2 linked regions of the Mus musculus genome follow. The protein of the gene in region 1 interacts with the protein of each later gene in a biochemical or structural test. Links are inferred from orthologs where the notes say so. Each region holds a gene or a part of one and is shown on either strand. Other genes may lie near its edges.

The links. The genes of interacting proteins can lie anywhere in the genome.
Region 2: of the proteins of Mylip (region 1) and Ldlr, one has a biochemical effect on the other in vitro, tested with the Homo sapiens proteins (4 studies listed by BioGRID, with this or other methods). The link is inferred for Mus musculus from reciprocal best matches to the Homo sapiens genes MYLIP and LDLR.

Annotation. Positions count from the first base shown.
Region 1 is NC_000079.6:45,387,548-45,392,550, reverse strand, and holds the start of Mylip (E3 ubiquitin-protein ligase MYLIP), read right to left. Parts: upstream 2,810-5,003; 5' UTR 2,595-2,809; coding exon 2,508-2,594; intron 1,363-2,507; coding exon 1,172-1,362; intron 1-1,171. UniProt on the Homo sapiens protein: E3 ubiquitin-protein ligase that mediates ubiquitination and subsequent proteasomal degradation of myosin regulatory light chain (MRLC), LDLR, VLDLR and LRP8. Activity depends on E2 enzymes of the UBE2D family.
Region 2 is NC_000075.6:21,736,091-21,740,993, forward strand, and holds part of Ldlr (low-density lipoprotein receptor isoform 1 precursor), read left to right. Parts: intron 1-1,129; coding exon 1,130-1,252; intron 1,253-1,783; coding exon 1,784-1,903; intron 1,904-2,764; coding exon 2,765-2,890; intron 2,891-3,295; coding exon 3,296-3,467; intron 3,468-3,558; coding exon 3,559-3,783; intron 3,784-4,903.

The DNA.
Region 1 (5,003 bases):
ACAGACAGTTCAGCATCTGTAAGTATGCCACTACATGAATATTTGTAAGGTATTTTCAGAAACAGTAAAAATTTCTTATGCCAGGTTCCTTCATAAACAAAATCTCTCTCAACCTTTAAAAGGCCACAGCAAGGCAGGCAAAGTGGACATTCCAAATCCAAATGGATGGTAGTTTTTAATGTTTCCATCGCTTGTTTAGTAAATAAAAAAAAGTGGTAAGTTAAACCCTCTCAGAAGAGCCTGTTCCCCATTAGGAGTCGAAATCTGCAGGATCACGTGTTTCACATGCGTGGCCCATTGCCAAGCCACAGGAGTATGGAAAACATCAGTGCTGGGATCCAAAGTTTGCTGTGGCTTTCAAAGCAATCATTTTCCTTTTTTCCACACGCCACTGTAGTCTCTTGCATTTTGGTAATAAATATTAAACATCACCTTCCTATTTTGGTTCATCTTTGAGAAAAGTATTATATAGTCAGCTCAGAGGGAAACGTACCGGGTATGTGTGTGTGTATTTTGGTCGTTTGAAAAGGAGACCACACCCACAGGCTTCGGTTGTCTACCATGGCTGGTGGCCCTTAGTTTAACAAGGAGGAAAAAAACAACAACACATGTCCAACAATCATTTTTAATAAATCTGTAGGCTGAAATTTACTTTACAGTGGCCCCTCAAAGAGTTCTTTTATTAAGATTTTGTGAAACTTAAAAAAGTTTTAAAATCTGTAGGAGGCCAGACAGAGCCGCTCCTGCTACACACTGTAATCTGACACTTAGGCTGAGGACTGACCAAGTTTAAGTAACCCAAGAGGAACTGTTTCCTGCTTTCCGCTAGAACGGTCTACAGTGACCTGTAGTAACACTGCTGAGGCGGGGTTACTAGCGGGCGTTAGATGAAGCTGTCAGGAAGTTGGTTTTCTTTTTGTTTGTAAGAAGTCAACCCTGCCTCTCCCACTAATATTATACAGAACAGGAAAAACAAAAACAAAACAAAACAAAAAACCAAGTGTTGAAAAACCCACCCAGGCCAACTGTGCTTTGGAAAACTTGAATTTTTCCTGAACTTCCTTTGCACCAAGTCAATTTTGCCAGGGAACATCTCCGGGAGGGCACGATAGCTACCACTAAATGGAATCTGAGGTGTACTTGACATTGGTTTGTTTCGGCCTCGCTTTACCTTGTCTGCTCCTGTAAGATGAGATGAGGCTCCACAAAGAACTTGACCCTCAGTTTAAGGCGGTAAGGTGCCAGCCCATCCATCTGCTGGGAGATCCGGTTTCTCAGATTCAGCCATAAGCTCTCACCTTTGCTCCCCGTGAACTGCAGCCCAAAATAATCAACCTCGATGATCCCTAGACGCCTGCACACCTAAAAACAAAACCAAAGGTATGGGGTGTGAGCAGTGCAAACCTAAGGGCTCCATCCGAGGAGAGGACTGGCCCCTGCTTTCCCAAAGTTCTACCTTCTTGCAATGCCAGTTGGTAGACCGACCGGAAAAACAAGGTTTTAAGGAAACAGCAAAGCCAAAACGCAGCCCTCCAGTGGAGGCTTGGCCTTGCTTGACTATTTCTAGGGTCTGACCAATGGCACAGGGAAAGGGGTCCCCCCAAAACAGACTTCCCAAAAGGCTGAGGTAGAAGAACACACAGGGTGTTTTATTTCTTATTCCAATCGCTGGAATTCCCCCCGCCACCCCCCCCCTCCGCCCCGCAGCACCATCTGCACAGCTGATTTGGCAGCGTATTATCTGGACAGTTTTAACCATCTGGATTCCAAAAACACAAACGCATTGAGGAAGCATGCTACAAGTGTCAGCTAAGCTTTACAAGCGCCTTTCCAAACAGCTCAGGTCCACAGGTCTCGTAGACACAGTATTTCAAGGGGTCAAATGGGCCTGCCAATATCCATTAGGCACACCCCGTTAGGAGCCTTAGTCACCCTTAAGAAAACACACGTGTAAAGACCCCTCAAGAAGGAGGCTGCCTGCAGAACCGTCCCCCGCAAATTACTCAATATACTCTGGATCCCTAGCAAGCCTAGAGTGTCAGGTGAACAGTCCTTCTGAGAAGCGGCTTGAGATTCGGGCCCACCTGATCAGCTAGGGAGCCCCGGGGCCAGCGACCGCTTGCAACCATCTCATCCCGGGACGCGGGTGGCGCTGCCGGGCTTTGCAAGGACTCCACGGGAGGCATCACACACACACACACCTGCGGCAGGTGTGCCGGGCCACCTTCTTTAGAGAAAAGTGCCAGGCTAACGGACAGGGTGGAGGTTCCCAGCAGTGTTCTGGTCTCCGGGCCCCGGATCCCCCACCGTAAGCGTCCTCTATGCTCCCCCCGCCCCCCCCCCACCGCACTCTCCACTCGCGGGGAGGAGGAGGAGGCTGGAGCCTGGCGTCCCGGGAGCACTCCACGGGCCGCTGCTGCAACGTCGCCCGGCTCCCGGGGAGCATCCCCGAGCCCCGAGGCTTCCCGGGGACAAGAAGGGATCCCCTTTCCGATCGCCGCCCTCACCTGGTTGAGACAGTCCTCGCCGTTGGCTTTTGCCTCCACCTCTACCTCCATCAGCACCGCGTCCGGCCTCGTCACATAGCACAGCATGGCTGGGGCCGCCGCCACCGCCGCTTCTTCTCGGGTGTGCGCCGGAGCTGTCGCCTCACCGCAATTGCTCCAAGTCGACTCCGGGCTCCGTGAGGAAGGTGCAGCCGTGCGGCCACCCGCCCTGCACCCCACGCAGCCGCCACTCGCGTCCCCGCCACCCCCACGACAGCCAGTTCCCGGGAGCTACACGGCCGCGCCGCTCCGACAGCCCTACTGCCTGCGCCGCTACAGGCACGCGTCTTTTATAGAGGCCCCGCCCCTCCGGCACCGGACTCCGCCAATCACAGCGTGCTTGCCCCTCCTCCCCAGCTCCGGCAACCAATTCCCAGTCTCGGTGGGCTGAAGCCCCGCCTCCCGGCACCGCCTGTGGAGCTGCGGGAGGTGGGAGCCCATCCTCTCCCCAATCCCCAGCACGGTCGCGGCCTCTGCCACTGGGCGACGCTCCTCCCAGCCCGCTGTCGCCCGCAGCTCCAGGGGACGCCTTTCTGTCCGGGTTTGAGAGAACTGTGATCAAAGGCTCCTGTGATGCTACGTTGCTACTACGGTTCTCAGGACTCCTGCGTGGGGTTACTCTAATAACCAGGTGGTTTGTGAAAGCCAAAAGAGAAGCAAGCAAGACAGAGAGCCTAAAGAAGAGGCTTTTCCGCTGGCATTTGCCACCGTGGGTTGTCAAAAGAAGAATCTAAGTAGAAAAGTTTTTGCAGCTGACCCAATATAAGCCGGTAATTTGATCCAAGCACCATTCTTATATTAACTCGTGCCAAGGGTTTCTATGTGTGGGTTCTGCTACATTGAAACACCTTACCAAGTTATGTCACCCAGCCTATCTCTCATCCAATTCGTTCACTATACACCTGGTACACTCCCTGCCCTTTCTTTCAGACACCCAGATGTTACCCCATCTTAAAGATAACAGGCTCATCTCAGGACCTAGCAGGATGGGAATCTCAATACAAGAGATTAGTGGTTAAAGGTGTACAACCTTCATATTTTTACCACCTGTTTCTCTTGGCCTATACTGTCTTTTTTGGTTTCTAAGATAAGCCGGGAGATATGGGTTTCAGCCTTGGATCTTTGGAAAACTCCATCTCTCTGAAGCTCAGTGTCCTCGCAGAATGGAGACTAGCTATTTTTGGACACCCCCTCCTGCAAGCCGCCCCCCCTCGCCCCAGCACCGCTGGGAAGCAATCTAGCCATCCCTGCCTGCCAATGACCCTATCTCTGTGCCGTTTGTTTGCTGTGCGTTTAAGACGAAGTCTTGCTGTATAGCTCAACCTGGTGGTGCACCTCGTACTTGGGCTCAGTGATATTTATTTCTGACGATGGGGAAAACATCGGAGAAGGACTGGGATCTTAGCAGAGCCCTCGCGGAGAGAACTGTTCAGTCTTTTGGCTTTGTGTTTCAGGAACACATGGTACAGTTCTCGAACTGCTCCAAGTCCAGTGTAAGCTTGCATTCATCCACCGGTCTACTGCTCATTCCTTTCCTTCCCGGAAGCAGGTCTGGCACGTGTACCTGGGAGATAACATTTAGATTATCTAATCTGTGGCCCATCGCTGGAAATTTCACCATAAGGAGAGGAGGCAACATGGAAATTGGTTGTATTGCTTAATATTTTTGAAAGGCCAAAACTTAACCAGCTTAAACAAGGGGGAACTTAGGGGACAGATTTGGGGAAATTCCTAGATACTGGGAGTAGAAAGGAGCTGAAGAAGAACAAAAATAAACAAACAGAATAAACAAAGACAAGACAAGAAACAAAAACAGAAACATTTCTATTTAACTATCTTTAAAACTATCTTACTTTGGGGTTTGGCAAGGATTTTTTTTAAATGGCTTTCTTTCATAGAAATGATTCTATATTTATATTTTTAATATGAGCAGCTAAATAATTTGTAGAAGCGAAGGAAATGTCAGGTTTAAAATTTTTAATTAAGAAAAATTTAACAACCATCAGTTACTTACAAACCAGTTGCATGGCTAACAATGACATAGGCATCTCTTTAACCCACATCCATTGAATTCCTTCTGTGAGATCCTCAATAAAGAGCTAATCATTTTAAAACCAAGTATCTCCAGAAAAGAGCCAGCAAAGGGGCTCTGTGGATTAAGGTACCTGCCACCAAGCCTGATGACCTGAATTTGACCCCAAGACCCATGGAGCAACAACCACAGGTTGTCCTCTGACCGATACGTGTTACATATATGAACACTAAAGTGTAAAAATTAAACTAAGGCATCGCCAGTTACTACTGAAGAAAAGAGGTGGTTTTAACAAAAGAGATCAAGGGCTGGGATTGAAACTCAGTTGATAAAGTGATCACGTAGTATGGACTTAGCCCCGAGTACCATCAAGTGGCCCTGGTGGCAACAGTGTGCCACCACTGTGTAATGGCAACAATGTGCCA
Region 2 (4,903 bases), on another chromosome or scaffold:
TTGGGCTGGTGAGATGGCTCAGTGGGTAGGAGCACTGACTGCTCTTCTGAAGGTCCTGAGTTCAAATCCCAGCAACCACATGGTGGCTCACAACCACCCGTAATGAGATCTGCCGCCCTCTTCTGGCGTGTCTGAAGTCAGCTACAGTGTACTTACATATAATAATAAATAAATCTTAAAAAAAACAAAAAACAAAAAACGATATGGTCTGGGGCTGAGCCATTGGTAGAGTGCTCGCCTCACATGAACCTGTGTGGTGACACACGCCTGTAACCCCAGCGTTCGGGAGGTGCAGGCTGGAGGTCAAGGCCAGCCTTGCTTACACTGAATCTGAGAACAGCTCTCATAAAAAAAAAAAAAAACAACAACAACAATAAAGCACATTTCTTTTTTTTTTTCTTTTTTTAAATGTTAGGTTTTTGCTGTTTGTTCTTTTGTGCTGAACTCAGGGCTTCCCATTGCTAGGCTGAGTTACTTGTTGCTTTTGCCTGCTCAATGCCATGCTGGGCATGGTGGTAGAGGTCTATAGTTCCAGCAATCTGGAGCCTGAGATAGGAAGCAAACACACTTGCACCAGCCTGGACCATGGCGAGACCTCTATATAAGAAACCCAACTCAGCCAAAAACAGTCTTTGCAGCCGTCTGTCTGTCGCTGAGCTCTCTCTCATGCAGAGTCTAAACAAACTCTCCTCCCATTAAACATTAACTTCCTGTCTGCCTGCCAAGCAAGCAGCTCCCAGTAACCCAGGGACCTGTCTCAGTGACAGAGCACTTGTCTACCCACTCAAGGCCCTGGGTCTCCTGCAGAGAATAAAAAGCAAAACACCCCTGGGAAATTATTTACAGCAGGCATGGTGGGACAACCCTGTAATCCCAGGGTTTGGGAGCTGAGGCAGGAGGGTCTCCTTGATGTCCAGTATTGTGGACTATAATTCAAGACCAGTAAGGCTACAAAGTGAGACTTCGGGCAGGGCTACCCAATGGCAGGCCCCCAGCCCCTCCCTCACTGGGGAACTCTAGGCAGGGGTTGGAGCACTGAGCCACACACTCCAGCGCTGAAGTGTAATCTTACCGCGAGCAGGCAAACCCTGTAGCTCAGGCCCTCCTGACTGTTCTTTGCCTCTCACAGTGACACAGTGTGATGGCCCCAACAAGTTCAAGTGTCACAGTGGGGAGTGCATCAGCTTGGACAAGGTGTGCGACTCCGCCCGCGACTGCCAGGACTGGTCGGATGAGCCCATCAAGGAGTGCAGTGAGTGTTGGGGAGCCGGGGATAGCATCAGTGTGTAGTCACTGTGGGGCTGTGAGCCCAGCCAGCGCCCCCGCAGCATGTAAAAGGCTCGCTGTGCATCATAGATGTGACAGAGCTTTGGCTCCAGGGCAGGACAGGCATGGGAGGCAGGGGTGGCTGGGAGATGCAGCCTGGATTCAGATCCCTGGCACTTATATAAATACATTCTTCGTCTGGAGATGGCTTAGCACCTAAGAGCACTGGCTGTTCTTCCAGAGGACTCAAGTCTGGTTCCCAGAACCTAAGTCAGGTGGCTCAGAATCGCCTGTAACTCTAGCTACAGGGGGGATCCATCTCTTGGCTTCCGGTGCCTCTGGCTTCTGAGGTCATCTGTTCTCACAGTCACATGCAGACACGCTTATACACATGATTAAAAATAATAAAAATGAATGATCTTCCAAGTGTTTTGCGAAGGCAGTGCAGTAGCGTAGTGTTCCCCGTGGAAAGTGTACGGCGCTAGGACAGCCAGTCTGCTTTCTCAATCCCACGCAGAGACCAACGAGTGTTTGGACAACAATGGTGGCTGTTCCCACATCTGCAAGGACCTCAAGATTGGCTCTGAGTGCCTGTGTCCCAGCGGCTTCCGGTTGGTGGACCTCCACAGGTGTGAAGGTGAGTCTGCAGCACATTCAGCCACCCAGTGAACCCGTGCCTCAGTTTCCCCATGTGCTCAGTGGCCAGGAGTGCAGTCCCCACTGCTTAGGGCTCTTAGGAGAGTTCCAGGGGTGAACACTGGGTCCTGGCCTGACTGTTAAGAGCAAAGTGTATCAATGGCAGGTCCTGCCTTTGGGGATCCTCATCACGAATCGAGGTTCCAGCTCGAGCAAGGGCTCCGTTGCTAGAACTCTTGCCTTACAGGTAGCTCTGGATTCTGTCCCCAGTGCATCGCAACCTAGCCTGGTGGCCCACACAGGTAGTTCTAATGCTTGGGATGTGTCAGCAATAGGAACAGAAGTTCAATGTCTTCTATGTAGCAAGTTCAAGGCCAGCTTGGACTGTGTGAAATGTCTCAGAAAAAAGAGTTCAAATGTGGTGCAAAACTCCTTTAAACCCAGCACTTGAGAGACAGAGGCAAGCAGATTTCTGAGTTCACGGATAGGGTGGTCTCCATGGTCAGTTTGGGCCCACTAGGGCTACATACAAAGACAAACAATAAAAAAAAATAACAGAAAAACAACCAAAAATGGAAAAAAAATAAAGAAGGGAAGGAAAGGTGGCTGGAAGATTCCCACTGGAGGTGAGTGACAGGGTCCAGGTCCTGTGAGGGTGGTGTCCCTTAGCCACTGGAGGTGAGTGACAGGGTCCAGGTCCTGTGAGGGTGGTGTCCCTTAGCCATTGGAGGTGAGTGACAGGGTCTTGTGAGGGTGGCATCCTTTAGCCACTGGAGGATACATGTTTTGTTCTCCTGTTGTCCTGTAGAAAGGGTTCCTCTCCCCTAGACGAAACCCTTTCTCTGTCCCCATGCACACACAGATATTGACGAGTGTCAGGAGCCAGACACCTGCAGCCAGCTCTGTGTGAACCTGGAAGGCAGCTACAAGTGTGAGTGCCAGGCCGGCTTCCACATGGACCCACACACCAGGGTCTGCAAGGCTGTGGGTGAGTGCTGGGCTGCCGGCCAAGGTGGGCTGGGCTGCCAGCTGAGGGGGGCTGGGCTGCCGGCCGAGGGGGGTGGCTGGGCAGCTCCTCCCTGGGGCTCAGAACTGCCATGACTTTCCCTAGTTGGGTATGGCATCTCTCTAGGATTCTGGCTGGTGGCGGAGGTGTACAGTAGGGACCTGCCTTCACCCATATCTATCCTTCCCAGAACTCTACCTGCCCTGCTTCCCATCCAGACAGGGTGGGAGATAGGAAGAGGCACAAAGTGTGACCTGAGCCCGTTACCTCCCTAGTTAAGCTTACTAGAGAAATGGGTTCCAGGGGCTGGGGCTTGTAGGCAGAGTTCTTGCCTGGCATCCATGAAACCCTGGCTTCCATCTCTCATCACCCTGCGTGGCTTTCCAGGCTCCATAGGCTATCTGCTCTTCACCAACCGCCACGAGGTCCGGAAGATGACCCTGGACCGCAGCGAGTACACCAGTCTGCTCCCCAACCTGAAGAATGTGGTGGCTCTCGACACGGAGGTGACCAACAATAGAATCTACTGGTCCGACCTGTCCCAAAAAAAGATCTACAGGTGAGCTGCAGCCCCGTCACCCTTTTGACAGTCTGTCCCCTAGGGAGGCCCTGACCCCAGGCTCTATTGTGACCCCTTTCTTCTGCCTCAGCGCCCTGATGGACCAGGCCCCTAACTTGTCCTACGACACCATCATCAGTGAGGACCTGCATGCCCCTGACGGGCTGGCGGTAGACTGGATCCACCGCAACATCTACTGGACAGATTCAGTCCCAGGCAGCGTATCTGTGGCTGACACCAAGGGCGTAAAGAGGAGGACACTGTTCCAAGAGGCAGGGTCCAGACCCAGAGCCATCGTAGTGGACCCTGTGCATGGGTGAGTGTCCAAAGAGCTGGACAAGGGGATGACCCAAGGTGGGGGATCCAGAGCTGGGCTCAGGAGAATGTGAGATGGTCCTGAGCTCAGGGGAGACGGTGGATAGAGGCTGGGGTGTCGGTGATAGACCAAGAAAGCAGCATGGTGGCTTGGACCTGAACCCCAGTCCTGAGTTACAGGCTAGCTCGGGTTGCAAAGTGAGCTCCTAGTTCCAAAAAAAAAAAAAAAACAAAAAAACAAAACAATCAAACTAGAGGCTTAGCAAGGGCCCAGGGTATCTGATGCCTCTGGCCTCATCAGGCATGGCAATTAAAAATGATTTTTGTGTGTGTGTGTGTGTGTGTGTGTGTGTGTGTGTGTGTGGTGGTGGTGGTGGGGTTGTCCTGAGACTTGCTTTGTATAGCAAGCTGGCCTTGAACTCAGAGATCTGCCTGCCTCAGCCTCCCAAGTTCTGGGTTAAAAGAATGCACGTGGTCACGCATTGTGGTGACCAGAGGAGGAGGTTAAAGATAAAGTGTGCTGGAAGCCACTGCGGCCTGGCAGAATAAAATCTTAGAAACAAAACCAAACCTGGCTCAGTGGACAGAGCCCTGAAGTCTGACAACCTGTGTTTAATCTCAGGGACACATGGAGTCGAAGGAGAGAACCGAGCCCCCAAATGTTGCATGAGTACATGTTCACGCGTGCTCGTGCAGTGGGTGAATCAGTGTTGAGTAAGGTGCTGGGTGTGTGCTGCATTCGGTAGGGAGCTTTCGTAACTGCGGGAAGCCCCGGGTTCTGCCTCAGAACCCCATGAAGCAGGCGTGGTCACGCATTGTGGTGACCAGAGGAGGAGGTTAAAGATAAAGTGTGCTGGAAGCCAACTAAGACTCGGTCAAAAACAGTGTCCTAGCCTGGCGATGGGCACAGTGGTGCAGGAGGCTCTGCGTTCCACCCCCAGTACAAGAAAGAAAGAGGGGGCTGGTAAGATGGCTCAGCGGTTAAGAGCACTGACTGCTCTTCTGAAGGTCCTGAGTTCAAATCCCAGCAACCACATGGTGGCTCACAACCATCTGTAACAAGATCTGATGCCCTCTTCCAGAGTATCTGAGGACACCTACAGTGTACTCACATTAAATAA